2 linked regions of the Oryzias latipes genome follow. The protein of the gene in region 1 interacts with the protein of each later gene in a biochemical or structural test. Links are inferred from orthologs where the notes say so. Each region holds a gene or a part of one and is shown on either strand. Other genes may lie near its edges.

Evidence for each region. The genes of interacting proteins can lie anywhere in the genome.
Region 2: the proteins of map3k7 (region 1) and nod2 form a complex in vitro, tested with the Homo sapiens proteins (2 studies listed by BioGRID). The link is inferred for Oryzias latipes from reciprocal best matches to the Homo sapiens genes MAP3K7 and NOD2.

What each region holds. Positions count from the first base shown.
Region 1 is NC_019882.2:20,581,833-20,585,332, reverse strand, and holds part of map3k7 (mitogen-activated protein kinase kinase kinase 7), read left to right. Parts: intron 1-288; coding exon 289-413; intron 414-1,030; coding exon 1,031-1,159; intron 1,160-1,244; coding exon 1,245-1,375; intron 1,376-1,723; coding exon 1,724-1,805; intron 1,806-2,425; coding exon 2,426-2,547; intron 2,548-2,625; coding exon 2,626-2,767; intron 2,768-2,991; coding exon 2,992-3,072; intron 3,073-3,500. UniProt on the Homo sapiens protein: Serine/threonine kinase which acts as an essential component of the MAP kinase signal transduction pathway. Plays an important role in the cascades of cellular responses evoked by changes in the environment.
Region 2 is NC_019861.2:30,238,001-30,242,157, forward strand, and holds the start of nod2 (nucleotide-binding oligomerization domain-containing protein 2), read right to left. Parts: upstream 2,801-4,157; 5' UTR 2,721-2,800; exon of another isoform or gene 2,521-2,720; 5' UTR 2,443-2,520; coding exon 1,966-2,442; intron 1-1,965. UniProt on the Homo sapiens protein: Pattern recognition receptor (PRR) that detects bacterial peptidoglycan fragments and other danger signals and plays an important role in gastrointestinal immunity.

The DNA.
Region 1 (3,500 bases):
ACTCAGTCGTTGTTGGCCTTTGATTTTTGTAACTTAAGCTTTACAACACTACTTCTTCTTCTTTTCGTGCAAGAGTTGTTGCATTTTTTGGTTTCGGCCACCACAACGTGTGCATGAAACGATGTTCCTCTGGAAGCATTGGCTCATTTCACGCTGACGATGTAGAACCTTCTGCTCAGACGAACATTTTTCCTCAGTTATCACAACGGTTCTGCAGATGAGCATTTATCATCTGTTAGCACGTGTTCCGCCGTCTTCCTCACAGCCTCTGTTGGTCCCTGCTTGCAGTCTGCTCCTGGTGGCTGGAGGCACCGTGCTGAAGATCTGTGACTTTGGAACCGCGTGTGACATTCAGACCCACATGACCAACAACAAAGGCAGCGCGGCGTGGATGGCTCCGGAGGTGTTTGAAGGCAAGTGTGGGAGGGGTGGATTCTCCCGGGCCGCCCTCAGTTCTTTCCTCGTTCTCGCACCTGACTTTGCTTTGTCACCCTTCACCTTAATTGCGTCCTAATGTCTCAGCGGAGGCGCATTAATCAGCGACTCCTCACCAGCTGCGGCGCTCTTTTTCTTTATTGATGGTAGTCTACCGAGCGTGGCGAGAAGATGAATGGATTAATGCTGGTCCCTTTATTTCCCCAAGGAAACAACACTTTGTGTTCTAATTCAGCCAGGAGCCTAATGTCTGGCTAAACGAGGAGCTGCGTTCCTGCAGAGGAGGGAAGGAGGGAAGATGAATTAGTGCTTAGTCATTATCTTGTTTTGGGAGGCAAGTTACAAGCCTCCAGTGCAATTAAGCCGCTCGCTGCTGCCCTCTCTGTGAACTCTGAGCTGCTAATTTGCATGGGAGCTCCCAGTGCAGCCGCTTTGAAGGATCTTTTCTGATCTGCTCCTTCATTTTGCAATAAGATACTCGCTAATGAAGCAACACAGGGGCTGTTCCTAGGCAAATATTGCCCCCCCTTCCCTCTGAAGGAGAGATGAAATCAAAGCTCCCCTCTCAGCAGCGGCGTTTCCTCTGCGCTCACAGGCAGCAATTACAGCGAGAAGTGCGACGTCTTCAGCTGGGGCATCATCCTCTGGGAAGTCATCACCCGCAGAAAACCCTTCGACGAGATCGGAGGACCGGCTTTCCGGATCATGTGGGCGGTGCACAACGGTGAGTCTTTCAGAGGCCTCGCCAAGTCCACCAGGAGAGCAGATGAAAGACGTGCCGCCATTTTCAACGTCTCTTCTCCATTCAGGGACCAGACCTCCGTTAATTAAAAACCTCCCCAAGCCCATAGAGAGCCTGATGACTCGCTGCTGGTCCAAAGACCCCTCTCAGCGGCCCTCCATGGAGGAGATCGTGAAGATCATGAGTCATCTAATGAAGGTGATCCATCTGTAAATAAAGGAGTTTTTTACTGATGTTGTGTTTGGAAACAAAAGAAGCTGACAGGACCTGAGGTTCAGTCATTAATCCATCATTTTTTTCTTTTAGTTTTTCCCTTTTCAGTCATAAACTGACACATTAATAACATTTTCAGACCTTTAAAAAAACTTTTAGGTTTTTTTAAATTTTTACTTTAAGGGTTAAATGTGTTCAGAGCTTTTACTCTTTTCAGCTCAACTCAAATTCAAGAAATGAACCTTTGTTGTCAAATCTGAAACGATGACTCATGAAACGTCCAGTTTTGTTGCAGGCTTTTAACCCGATTGTTTCTTTTTAAATTTATTGTAGTATTTCCCAGAATCGGACGTTCCTCTGCAGTACCCGTACCTGTACTCCGATGACGGACAGATCAACTCTGCAACAAGCACAGGTACCAAGCAAAGCAGGTCCACGTGCAGAGCCCTGAGGAGTGCCGAGAACAAACACAGAACAAACGGTTTTGAGCTCTAGATTCAGTGTTTAGGGCTCAGATTAGAAAATGATTTAATTTGATCCAATTCAAATCCATAATCTAATATTGTTTTGTTTGCTTTTGAGTAAATCTTTTGTTTTTAATTATAAGCAACTCTAAACGATACAGCTTTAGACAACGGCTCATAACTCTAGTTTTGTTTTTTGCTGCAGAGCTACATAAAAATTAAAATCCATTAATAAATCATTTCAAATGTCTTTCAAAAATAAAGGTCCATTCAAAACAAATGAATGTTGGGAAATTTACAGCAAACCCTTCTGAGATCTCTGCATTTAGAAAACCAAACCGAACATTTACCATTCTGTTGTTTTTTTCAAAGTGGTCTCTTCTGTTGTGCGAAGAAAAAGTTCATTCTTAGAAAAAGCTTTCCAGACTGTTTCTAACTTCCTGGTTTTGAGGACTGAAGTCTTTTGAGGGATCCTGGAGAACTGCAGAGCTTCTGACTGTCTTTGCTACAGTATTTTCTGAGTTGAGGGCTCTGATGTGAAGGAACCCCCCCCTGTCTGCTGTTTGTCCAGTTTCATATTTGGACTACACCAACACCAGCAACAAAAGTGACGCCAACATGGAGCACAGCGACTCTCAGGGGAGCAACGACACCATCAAAATCACGCCTCAGTTCCCGGCCTTCAAACCAAAGGTGCTGCTCCCTTCCTGTCCTTGAACCCTGATCAGGGGGGGTCGTCAGACAAGTGAGGCTTCTCCTCTTTTCCTGCAGGTAGATCCTCTGAGGTCTTTGCCGTTGTCCAGGGGGGGCAGCGTGGAGAGTCTGCCCGCTCGAACTCTCTGCTTGGGTGACGGCAAGAGGATGAGTGCAGATCTGTCAGAGCTGGAGCCCAAGGCGGCGTTTGCCCCTGCAGGTATGAATACAGAGGGGGAGCGTGACCCCCATGTGCTGCTCTGGATTCAGGTTGTTGTTGTAGCCTCCTGTGCCCCACCCTGACCCTTGGATCTAACCAGCGCAGAAGCAGGGGGGCTGCTTTTGTGTCGCACAGGCTGCATGTGTCTGCGCTCTGCATGTCTGCGGCGACCCCGCCCGTCCGTCTGCATGCTGGCAGCTGTACGTGTGTGTGTGTTTTTGCAGCAGCCACACAGTTTAGGCGAGGCCACCGTAAAACGGCGTCCCACGGAACCATTCTGGACGTCCCCAAGATCGTCGTCACAGGTACCTGTGGACCAGTGGGCCTCCTGGTGATCGGGTGGAGCCTTTTTGGGTTGCTGTGGTGGTTGTAGCTCTGCTGTGCGTCGCTCCATGTGGTGCTAAGTTTCTACCCAGCATTCCCTCTGTCTGTGCTCCTCATGGAGTAGCATGCAGCAGAGTCCTGCTTTGTGTTTCCTCTGGCTTTAATCTGGCAGAAGCAGAACTTAAGCTCCCCATCAGTGCTCAGCTCATCTTCCTCAGATGCTGATGAAGATGACTGCTCTCACTCGTGGCTGCTTTCTGTCATCCTGGAGAAAATCAGTTCCTCACTCCTGAGCTTTGTGTTTGTCCTCATCTTCCAGCGTAGAGGATTTCCTTCCTTCCTTCCTTCTGGTTCACTTTACAGCAGACCTACATGGAGGAGAAAAGCCCACACTGTCACTCAGATTGAG
Region 2 (4,157 bases), on another chromosome or scaffold:
TTTTGCAGATGTTTGTATGCAAAGTGACTTAGAAATGAGGAACATGACGAGAGTAAAACTGACAGTCACTCATTTTAGGTTAAAAGTGCTTTAAAGAAAAATCTTAGGTACAAGAAATGTCGAGGAGTGGGTAGTTTTTTTTTTAATCTGTAAGAGGAGAACAGTCTTTGGCATGTACTTTAAAATTGTGCAACGGATAGAGAGTTGCATATCTCATTCGAGCTAAAGAATTAAGCTGCTGATCTTTTGTTGGGTGGTGCCAGGAACACCAGTTGTTGGGAAAGGTTGTGGGCGAGTGTCAGGGTTTAAAACACAAACAGGGCAGCCACAGTAAGCCAAAACAGAGTCAGAACATTGTCACTCACTCGGTGTACCCGAATTTGGTCAATTAAGTTTATAAATTCATGGCTCAGGTGCACCTAGAAGACATACAAACTAAGGTTTTTTACATCCCTGCTGACATCAAGAGGCCTTGTTCGCTCTACGCTTCCTTCAGAATACACAGATTTCAAGTATTAAGCAAAACTTTGGTAAAAAGTTTGACCTTCTTTAATTGCTCAGTTCAGTTCAAAGCACATATTGTCTCATGCTGCACAAAAATGGTTAGTATTTAAACAGAAGCGAGCTGCTAAAAAAACCCCACATATATTTATGTACTCTTTGTGAACTTTTTCTACTGGATCATAATGCAGTAAAGTCATGTTTATGTTCCTGTTAACAGCAGCAGGAAGAAAAAAAAGATGATATCTCACCACAGTCGACCTAAAAAATAAAAAGTGAAAACACTGTTTATGCCCTGAGTTGTTTGAAGAAGTACATTAGCTGCACAGAGCGTCTTTGTTTTAAAAGAAAGTCATTTGACCTCCTATATGAGCTTCTCTCAAAAGTAAAAAATATGTTCACATTTTGGGAAAATTCTAGTTTCTCTTTATATTCGTGTATATATCCATGACAAAAATGAAACAAAAATCATGTTATAAAAGTAGAAAGGACATGAAATTTCTCTTTTAATTAATTTTAATTTTTATGTCATGGAGTATTTATCCTATCAAACCTTTTCCAAGTCCTGGTAACTTTTATTACAGTTGTTTTTTTCTTCTACTTGGCACAGCAGAGAGCATCAAAAAACAGAGCATTAAAAAAACAAAAAGACACTGGAGCAGAAAAAAGATCAGAAAAATATAGCAAACAGTCAATTTGACTGCTATGGCCATTTGATCTTTATCTTTTGTGTGTTTTTTTTTAAATGACGTTAGAATAAAACATACACACAGTTTCAAAAAGTCAGGGTCTCATTAATCCATACGTTAGCAGGATTTGATGTAGCAAATTTTAAAAGCAGTTGAAACTCTCTTTAATGGTTGCTGGTTTACTATTTAAGTGGGCTGTTAGAGCTGCTACTGAGTGGAACTTCACCCCCATGACTATTAGAAATCAAATCACATATAAATCATTTAAGACACAGTTAAAGAAATGGCTCATTGACAATCAGAGCTGTCAACACTACGTACACTTCCTATCACTGATTACCCGCTACTATCTTGTCTTGTGTGTGTGTATATGTTTATGCATTTGTCCGATTTGGATTGTTTTATTGCCAATTTAATTTTAGGTTAACTACTAATTTTACTGAATGTATGGTTTAATATATGTATGTAATGTTATGTAAATATGTAATTTTATTTTGATCTTGTAAGGTGATTTTAACATCTACCCAGATAAAAAATTGAATGAATATTGACAGAAATAATTATTAATATGCGCTGTCCCTGTATCGAATAAATAAATAAAATCTAAAATTAAAAAAAACTCTTGAAAAATAAAGGAACTTTAAACCAAAGCAAAAAAATATATATTTAAACACTTTATTGTAATATTTTAATAAACAGTTGTAAAAATGCAAATACCTAAAGCCTGCCTACCCAATCAAGTCTTGTTCATTTGTGTTATCCTAAAAATGCTCACCTGCTGAGACGGGGTGTAAACAGGTAGCAGCACTTCATTAGCATCTGCAGAGGAGAAGTGTCCAGACTCCACAAGAGCTTCCACCGCATCATGAACGGAGCCCTGCAGTTTCCAGACCAGACTAGGTCTTCGTTTCAGGACCGTCTCCGTCCATGTCCTCTGAGTGACTTCTAGTTCATCCAAAGTGGATGAGTGTTCTAAGAAGCAAAGACCAGCCCCCTGCTCTTTTGGCAGAATCTGTTTGAGAGCAGCGAGGAAGAGCTCACAGGTGTCTGCACCCTTTGTGTAAACCAGGTCAAGCAGGTTTCTGGCATTGCTGTTCAGTGGTCTTCCTGTAACCTGTACGTTCTGGTAGTCCTCCCATGTGATCTCTTCCTGAGCCAGCAGTATATCCAAAATGCTTTCCAGATGTTCAGCTGACCCACCACTGCAGAGAGCACGCAGAATCTCTGTACGCTGCTTCAGCAAACGCTCCATGGCAGACGGGCTTTTTTCGCATCAGCTTCCATGCTCCAAGATTCCATCTTGGACTTGTGCTGCTCGCAACGCCCCAGCCTGCCAAACACAGATGTGATCATTCATGGCAAGAATCCACGAGTTTTACAATTCTCGCTTTACAAGTTTGCATTGGACGCCATAGGTAGACAAAACACAGCTCTTTAGTGATCTCTGTATGGCGTCCATCCACATGAGTCACATTCTGTCAAAACCTGAAGATATACTTGAAAACCTGCTATTAAAATATGATCTCTCACTACGAAATGTCAGCAATCGGGGCTCCTTCTCTCATTTGGGCGTCCTGAAACATTTGTTGGTGAGCCTCTGTCTGTCCTCTTCCTCATTCCACAACTGAAAGTGAAACTGGTTTTGCACAACTTTAATCAAAAGTAAATGTTGGTTAAAAAAAATAAAAACAGTTTGTCTGAAGTACTTCCCTGTTGGGGCGGATTTTGCAGCATAGATTTTCTGCTTAGTTCTATCACATGTAAACATATTTCTATAGCAGAAATGTGAAGGTTTCTTTATATTTTAAAAAAACTTTAAAGACAATGCTCATTTCTCCCTTTCTTTTATGTAAAAGCTGTGCTGTGTGGAACATGATCAAGTAGAGAGAAAGGTTTCAGAGACGAGGGTTGCAGTTTGATGCTGCGCCCACTTGATGGAACTGTTGCGTAATAAAAAAATCTAGCTGGTTTGTAGAGAAACCTGTGACTGGTTGACATTGGGGTTGACATATTTCTGAATTTCTGCAGCTATGTAGTTTTTTTTGTGCCTTTTTTATTTTAGAACCCAAACAAACTGTATGTGAAAAAAGGTGAATAGAAATGTAGTAAAATCAAAAGATGAGATACATAAATCATATTTTGCAATGCTTTTTCAATTTCTTTTTCAATTTCTTTCAAGTGGCTGGGATAGGCTCTGGCAGCCTTGTGACCCCGAAAGGGAACTAACGGAAGAAGATGAATGCTTTTTAAATTTTTTTTTTTTTTTGCTCCGTCCTGACCATGTGATTGTTTCGTTATCAGGCCTCTCTGTTCTGAAGGGAAACATAAATGAGCAGAAGAAATCAAAGATAGCTTCTTTTCAGCTCCTCACCAAGAAACAGGCAGCTCCCCCTTGGGGAGTGTAATGCAGAGTACTACCTGTAAGGCATCCTGTGTGAAACCTAAAGGGGGGATACTGTCATCTAAATAACAGACAGGAGTCCAGAGCAGCTTGAGAGACTTTAAAAATAAGGTATAAAGTCACTCGTGCGTCAATTTATTCAATTCAATTCAATTTTATTTGTATGGCCCAAATTCACAACAACAGTCGTCTCAATGGGCTTTGTATCGGGAATTGAAAAAGTGAAGCATGAACTCAAAAGGATCATGAATACATAGAGTTCATTAGGAAAAATACTAAAAGGAACTAACAAACTGACTAAGCTATACTGGCATCCCTGCCCTTAGACCCCCCTTCCTGGTAAGGAAAAACTCCTAAAAAACCGGATTCCGGAAAAAACGAAAACGATCATTTTAATGTTATATGCGTGCCGTATACATAATATAAAAGTTATACATCGGTGATACATGTGGGAAAAGTCTGTTGGACATACATGGAAAGCCACAAATCTGCGTGTGCATCGTGTAAAAATCATGCACAGATTTACTTATTGATTGCGTATAAACTACGTAAAATACACATAAACT